Linked DNA regions of Rattus norvegicus. The protein of the gene in region 2 purifies or fractionates together with the protein of the main gene of each other region. This does not show direct contact. Links are inferred from orthologs where the notes say so. Each region holds a gene or a part of one and is shown on either strand. Other genes may lie near its edges. The genes, in order: Iqgap1 and Diaph1.

Region 1 (4,375 bases), on a different chromosome or scaffold from region 2:
TTCCTTCTCCCAGTCAACTCTCCAATTAGTCCATCTGTACCTCTTTGCTTCTTCCAAATGACAAAGGTACTCATAGGCCACGTTCTGTCGCCTCCTCTCATCCATCTCCTCTGCCGTGAGTCTCTCATTATCCAGGACAGCTAAAACAAGAAGGAAAGAGTGTAAACGCCAAGCACTGTGACTCTCCTCAGAAATAAATGAGAGCCACAGCCATAGATAGATATAGATATATGTATATATCTCTCTATATATATGATATACATATCATATATATATGGTAAGGGGCTGTAGAAACGTGTCAGCAGTTAAGAGCACTTGTTGACCAGGGTTTCTAGCACCTACATGGCCACTCACAAGCATCTGTAATTCTAGTTCAAGAGGAGCCAATGCCGTTTCTGACCTCCCAGGTCACCGGGTATATATGTTGTGCACATGTCTATGCATGCACTCATGCATATAAAATCATGTTTTATGCATCATATGGGAGTCAGGTCACTGGTAAGCTGCCCATGCTCCGATGGACAGTCAAGACATTCATGCACATAGGGGCAGCACTAGTTTGACTTAGTGGGTTTTTTTTGTTGTTGTTGTTTTTGTTTTTTTTGTTTTTTTTTTTACTTTAGAGAGCCTAGGGGGTGGAGAGATGGCTCAACAGTTAAGAGGACTGGCTGTTCTTACAGAGGATCTAGGTTCAATTCCCAGTACCCACAATGAGCTATAACTCCAGTTTCAGGGGACCCGACATTCTCTTCTGGCCTCTGCAGGCACCAGGTACACACATAGTGCACAGACATTATGCATGTTGGCAAATCACCCAAACACATAAATTATTTTTTAAGATGTATTTATTTATTTTATTCATATGAGTGCACTGTTGCTTTCTTCAGACTCACCAGAAAAGGGCATTGGACCCTATTACAGATGGTTGTGAGCCACCACGTGGTTGCTGGGGATTGAACTCAGGACCTCTGGAAGAGCAGTCAGTGCTCTTAACCACTGAGCCATCTCTCCAGCCCCCATAATTTTTTTTTTTTCTTAAAGAAAAAGATGCAGGTGTAATAGCACAAGCCTGTAATCCCAGCACTTGGAAGGCAGAGGCAGGCAGACTTCTGAGTCCAAGGCCAGACTTGTCTTAAACAGCAAGTTGAGGTCAGCTAGAATTATACAGTGAGATACAATCTCAGATAAATCATTGGAGGGGAGGGATAGGAGATAGATATAATCATTTTCATTTTTTATGTTAAAAATTCTCAAGGAACCAAATTTCTAAATGTTTTAAATATATGTACTACCTTTTCTTGTAGCTTCAAGAAGTATCAACTACGTCTGTCCTTGTGAGTCAGAATTAAGATAGAGGGCATCATGCCTTCCCATCTATTGACAATGGAAGCCTGCAACTCCCGGACTAAGCAATTTACACACTTTCTCCCACTCTAGCCCAGAACAATCCTGTGATTACCACTACTCGACAGAAGAGGAAACTGAGGTAGGATGAACTCAGCCCCAGGGCTAATAAAGGGCCCTTTCCGCCCACCTGTCTCCAAGTGTTGCAGCCATCAGCCTCCTCCACAGCCATCCCTAGGGTCGAGGGAATTCCTAACTCCTTGGGAAGACTATAAAGCTATTCTCATGCTAGCGTGGGCTGCTCCTTACCCTTCTCCTCCCCCTTTCCATCCCACCTCTGCCCTGCCACGACACTATGTGTTCCCACACACAGTAACCCTATATTCTCCAGTACCACATTTAGTTTGTCGTGTTCTTGCACACCCTGCCCCACACTGTATCCTTCAACCCTCTGTTCAGAAGTCAGCACCTGGGGGTTGGGGATTAAGCTCAGTGGTAGAGCGCTTGCCTAGCAAGCACAAGGCCCTGGGTTCGGTCCCCAGCTCCGGGAAAAAAAAAAAAAAGTCAGCACCTGTGTTCCCACGGCCTCAAGTCCCTTCTCTTCACCCCCATTACTCTTTATACCTAGTTAGTTCATGCGTCGTTTATCTTTATTGCACCCAATTTTTTTTCTTGGAGCTGAGGACTTGCACTTGCTAGGCAAGCACTCTACCACTGGGCTAAACTCCCAACCCCACTGATTTTATTATCAATCGTCTGTACACCTGTCTCTTTCTCTGACAGTTTCTGAAGGCACTGCTTGATCTTTTTCATCCCTTATTTCACAAACGTGGCACACATTATAACACTATCTAATGCATACCTGGATGTGTTAAAGTATCCTTTAAGAAAACACTTTCCTCAAAACATAAAATCTAAACCCGAGAATCAGAGGGATCCTCTTGTAACTTCAATCCCACGTACAGCTGGTTAATTCACCAATGTTGCAGGGATGGCTACAGAAAATGAGGAAGTGGAGCGGGGGCGATTTCGGTGTGCTTATGTTTTAATTTTACTTTTGAATTGCTGAAGAGAGAACCCAGCAGGAGAGTGTAAGCTGCCTGCCTAAAACTGCGCCTCGCAGCTAGCCTAAGGCTGAGCGGGTCTGCGCCCCGGATCACCCTCGCAGGCAGCAATCCGGGCAGCACCTTCCCACCACGCCCGAGCAGAACCCCTGGGTCCAGTGCCCAGGACACGCCCTGCACAGTCAGTCCTCCTGCCACCTCACCCTAGGCCGTCTTCCCCAATCTCAGTAGAACTAACCGGTGGAGGCTCTGGGTGGGGCTCCCCTGCCGCGGCGCCTAGCGAAGGCTGAGGCCTCCAGGTTTCTACCCGCCGCCTCCGGAGCTCGAGAGGGCTCAGACGCCAACCTTGCTACCAGCCATACAGCCGGCTGCTCTTCCGGGTCTGTGCGGTCCCAAGCCACCCCGCGCACCCGCTCCGCTGAGCCCCTGGGAAAACCTCGCCCTCGCACCCCCAAATACCCCGTACTCACAGCCATAGTGCGGCCGGACCACACCCAGGCCATCGACCTCCTCCGCGGCGGACATGGCGGCCGAGTCCCGGTCTCCGGTGAGGAAGAGCAGAGACCTTGAAGACGCGGGCGACCGTAGCAGCAGCAACTCCTGCCCAGTGCGCGGGCTGTCGCTGTCCTCAAGGCCCCGCCCCGCGCCATCAGCCCCACCCTGCAGGTCCCGCCCCGCAGACCCCGCCCTTGAGTCCACGCCCAGCTGCGCTCCCCAGAGCGAGCGGAAGGGGCGTGGTCACTTTTATAGGACCCGCCCCTGCTAGCTTAGCTCTCCACTTGCGGAAGCGAAGAGGCGGGGCGCTGTAGCAGTCCCCAGGCCCGCTTGGTCGGTTGTCCCGACACTTCCCCGCCTTCACCCTATCTACGGCTCAGACTGAAAAGCCGCCAATGTCTACAGCTTTGAAATCCAAACTTTTTTCGGCGCCTGCCTTTCCTTGACAGCTGAGTTAACCCGCTCTGTACCGCGGCTCTTTTTTTTTTTTTTTTTTTTTTTTTTTTTGGAGCTGGGGACCGAACCCAGGGCCTTGCACTTGCTAGGCAAGCGCTCTACCGCTGAGCTAAATCCCCAACCCCTGTACCGCGGCTCTTTAAAGGAGCCGTTTCAGGTGGCCCAGGGTGTTATTGGACGCAAGTGGGACCCACTGTCAGGAAAGACTCCCATCCCTACTCTGCCATATTATGTCAATCTGGCCTCTGTTCTCCCCAGCAGTGCTAAAGCGTAGAACTGCTCATTCTCTTAAATTGGGGGATGAAGATGCTCAATCAGAAGAGCTATTTATCGCCTCTTTACAATCTGTACTCTTCTTTGCAAGTTCTTACGGGGTATCTTGAACCTATTAAGGATTTCCTTTGCCCTTGTAATCTTTTTTTTTTTTTTTTCTTTTCTTTTTTTCGGAGCTGGGGACCGAACCCAGGGCCTTGTGCTTGCTAGGCAAGCGCTCTACCACTGAGCTAAATCCCCAATCCCTGCCCTTGTAATCCCCAGCCTAGATTACAGAGTGAGACACTGCCTCCAAAAAGTTAAAAAAAAAAACAATAAAAGTTAAAGTCCCGTTCTCAGGACTCTTACGCTCACCATATACAGTTGATGGCTTCTACTCACAATCCAGACAATCTAGAAGCCCCTCAGTAGGTTCAAACCATCTAATGTGCACTTTTGCATCTCCCACAGACACTAAAAACTGTCAAACGTTGGTCCTGTTCCTGCTTCACTCTCTATAAGTGTTCAATCACCAGTCACACACACCCCAGGTTTGCTTCACCTTTTTTTTTTTTTTTTAATTATATATAAGTACACTGTAGCTGTCTTCGGACACACCAGATGAGGGCATCAGATCCCATTACAGATGGTTGTGAGCCACCATGTGGTTGCTGGGAATTGAACTCAGGTCTTCTGGAAGAGCAGACAGTGCTCTTAACTGCTGAGCCATCTCTCCAGCCCCTTCACCTCTATTTCTGAAGCAT
Region 2 (3,814 bases):
GTCCTATGCCTTCATACACACCTTTTTTTCCAGCTCTGTAGCTTTGGCCTCAGATTTTTCCACCTTCGTTTTATCAATCATTTGATCTGAAAAGAAAAAGCAATTTGATCTGAAAACAATGCAGTAAGTCAAGTCTCAGTGCCGAAGTTGATGTCTCTGCTCCTAAGCCTCAAACACACTCAAGGGCACTCTTCTGTCACTTGGGTTGCTGACGCCACTCCTAATGGTTTGCACTAGCACTAGACCAAGAAATGTGAGTTTCAGTTAAGTACAATTTACAATTTCCTCTAAGTTTTATTTATATAGTTGTTTCATATTTTGTGTGTATTTAGTGTCTATGTATGTATATGTCACATGTGTGCAAGTCAGATGACAACTATCAAAAGTGGTTCTTCCTTGCCACCATACAGAATCTGGGGCACAAACTCAGGTCCTCAGGCCCACATGCAGGCACATCTACTTATTGCCACCATGCTGGCCCTTAGCCTAGTATTTCAAAGTGCAAGGTAAAGAAATCACACGAAGGATGCCTTTGTGTGACATTTGTGCTTCTAAGACCAGCAGAGTCAGAAAATACCTGAAGTCCCTGTAAAAAAAAAAAAAAAAAAAAAAAAAAAAGGCAAGATTTTCACTGTGCTGAAATAAACTTAGGATGAAACAATGCCAGCAAAGAGGGTGTACTGAGAAAGAACTGAAATAGAGACTAGAAGGATTTCTCTGAAAGTTTCACTGAACGATGAAAACAAAAGGTCCAAGTGCTGAGTGTTCTGAGGAGCTGGGTAGAAAAGCACGCTTACCAACCAACCCCTCAATATCAATCTGCAGGTGCCGGCACTTGAAGTCAGGATCAGTTCCATTTTTGTGTAGAACTATCTGAGAAACACATTCTTCAATCAATTTATAGTACTGCGGCCTATGAAAGAAACAAAACAAATTTATCAAACAGAAATAAAAAATGTATCTTCCAGAAGTATTCTGGATCAAGAAGAGTTAGTGGCTTTGACAATAAAAAGAATTATGGAAGGGGTTGGGGATTTAGCTCAGTGGTAGAGCGCTTGCCTAGCAAGCGCAAAGCCCTGGGTTCGGTCCTCAGCTCCGGAAAAAAGAAAAAAAGAATTATGGATAAACACTCCAGGAAGAGCTTTGATGAAGCTAACTGAAGCCTTACTGCTGTGTTAGCAAATTCTCCTCTCTAGATCAGCTTTCATTCTCTCCTTCAGATACCCAAAAGCTCTTACAGGTTGGGGGCTGCAGTTCAGTGGTAAAACATGTACTGAGCATGTGGAACATGCTGAGTTCAACCTCAAGCACATAAATGCTAACATGCATGTGCATACACACATGCACTCACTTAATTTCTTTTTCTTTGCGTGTATCTGTGTACATGTATAAAAGTGCCATGGAGGTCACAAGTGTCACACAGAATTACAGGAGGTTTGTGTGGCTAATGTGAGGGCTGGGAACTGGTGGGTCCTGTGCAAGAGCAGCATGCATGCTTAGTTAACCACTGAGCCGTCTCTCCATCCGCCAGTACACAGCTTCCCAACACCCAGGCTGGACTCCAGCCTTATGATCCTTGTCATGCAACGGCCGATCTCTACTTCCAAGAAAGCAGAAACAACTTTAAGTTTCCATCTCTTTGTTGTCATCCTCAGCCCACTTACCCACTTCCTCCTAAGGACATTTTACTTTATACACAATTACCTATCCAAAGAGGTACCTTTCAACTGAATTAAAGCAGTTGGTATGTTAATCAAGCTGTTGATAATTTCCTTTATATCTGTGACTAATGAATCTAATCTACAGTCTTTTTTCATTTCTTTTTACCTTTCTAGAACAATCTTTGAATTTAAGGATGCTGCTTTTCCACTTAGATGCAACATTATCAGCTTACCTAGCTTCATAATCATTTCGGACCAACAGGAGATGCTGCAAGATAGACAGGAAGTGTGGTTCTGCCTTGGAATCTTTCACTGTGTTTAAAATAATCTGGAAAACTTCACCAAAGTCAGTAGAAAAAAGGACAGGCTAAGGAAATCAAGTAATTAGAAGATGTTTGACAGGTTTCTTGTCAACCAACAGAGGGTATCAAGATACCACTTCTACTACAACAGCTGTTCCTAAAACATCACTAGTTCATTCAACCAAGAGTGGCATTGTCCACAAACACAGGATCCTAGTATACATACTGAAGAAACTAAAAATAGAACCACATCAAAGTCACTTGTGGCAGGTAGGCAACTGTGTAATAGTATTATTGCTTGTCAGTCCAGAGGGCTCTGCATACCACCCCACAGCTCAGGAAGATATCGTGCTGTAGGAGGTGTACAGAGATTTGGATGGACACTTTGGGACGTGAGAGCAATATGGCTAAACATGTTACGTTAGCACTTGAGTGACAGGCTGATGGATGCCTTGATGTTAAAGAAATCACCTTTCCTAGCTTTCCTGGTCTATGCTGAAGTAAATAAAGCCAACAGCAATATGTAGACATAGCTTTATGTATTATATATATATATATATATATATATATATATATATATACACACATATATATATACACACATATATATATATATATATATATATATTTTTTTTTTTTTTTTTTTTTTTTTTTTTTTTTTTTTTTTTTGAGACAGACTCTCACTGTGTAGGCTTAGCTGGCCTGGCCTGGAGTTCACTATGCAGACCAGGCTGGCTTCAAACTCAAAAGAGATCCTAAGTGCTAGGAGACGAATTCAAGTCATGTGCCACCATTCCCAGTCTTAGGCCTTATTCTAAGTGATCACTCTCCAGACTATTCCATACATTCAGTCTGTAAGTAAATGTATCATCTGTCCTGAACTCAGTCATCAGTCATAAAAGGATATTCCATCTCCATGCGGATATCATCCAGTCGTCCCTTCAGATCGAAGAAATCTTCATCCCCTTGTTCATCAAACACATTGAGCTGTACTCGCATATCATCATTGTCAATCTCTCGAAGCTCCTGCCAATGACAGCAAGTAGTGAGAGAACCCAAATCCAAGCCTTTCAACCTGGTGTTTAAGTTGAAAACCAGAATCATCTCAGAGATGACCAGGGCTGGAAGAGCAGGAGGGAAGTGCAGCCTTCCTAAGGAAAGGTTCCATCTTACCTGCAACACTTGATGCAGTCCCAAGCGCATCAGCTCACTTCGGATGTGAACCCGGAAGTCAAGTTCCTCAGCGGGAGTGATGAGAGCATTGATCAGCTGTAGGCATCCCACCTGAAACAAGCAAATTCAGCTGCTACGTCAGCCGTCAACCTTATGGATAAGGAGTCCCCTATTTATATACACTCTGGAGCTCCATAAAAGATACAGAATAAAAACTACAGAGAGGAAGTTCATACTAGAGCAACAAAACCTCGCTGAACACAACTCTGGAGAATTTAGGCTTTTAAATGAATCCAAGGACATAACATGTTACTACAGAACCTCCATTTTCCTAAGGTACTAATAAGTAGCTGGTTTATCCCACCAACATCACAAGGAGAAAGGTAGTTCTCTGTTTTTTAGAGAAAAAAATCATTTTCCTTTAGGAAAAACACCTAAAATATAAAAAGTATAGCTGAGAACATTACATATTTTAATAAAGACTTAAAATTTGTATTATTTTCAACTTTATGTGCATTAGTGTGTGAGTGTGTGTGTCTGTGTCTGTGTGTGTGTATGCACACATGCATGCCAGTGCTCAAAGAGGCCAGAGGTATCAAATACCCCTGGAGCTGAGCTACAGGCAGCTGTGAGCTGTCTGACATGGGTGCTGGAAACTCAACTTGAAGAGGAGTATAT

What was found.
Region 1: the proteins of Diaph1 (region 2) and Iqgap1 purify together in Homo sapiens (affinity purification with western blotting; 3 studies listed by BioGRID and IntAct, with this or other methods). This does not show direct contact. The link is inferred for Rattus norvegicus from reciprocal best matches to the Homo sapiens genes DIAPH1 and IQGAP1.

Annotation. Positions count from the first base shown.
Region 1 is NC_086019.1:144,175,922-144,180,296, forward strand, and holds the start of Iqgap1 (ras GTPase-activating-like protein IQGAP1), read right to left. Parts: upstream 3,033-4,375; 5' UTR 2,934-3,032; coding exon 2,879-2,933; intron 141-2,878; coding exon 41-140; intron 1-40. UniProt on the Homo sapiens protein: Plays a crucial role in regulating the dynamics and assembly of the actin cytoskeleton.
Region 2 is NC_086036.1:29,978,781-29,982,594, forward strand, and holds part of Diaph1 (protein diaphanous homolog 1), read right to left. Parts: intron 3,248-3,814; coding exon 3,137-3,247; intron 2,990-3,136; coding exon 2,871-2,989; intron 2,012-2,870; coding exon 1,895-2,011; exon of another isoform or gene 1,836-1,894; intron 914-1,835; coding exon 798-913; intron 87-797; coding exon 22-86; intron 1-21. UniProt on the Homo sapiens protein: Actin nucleation and elongation factor required for the assembly of F-actin structures, such as actin cables and stress fibers. Binds to the barbed end of the actin filament and slows down actin polymerization and depolymerization.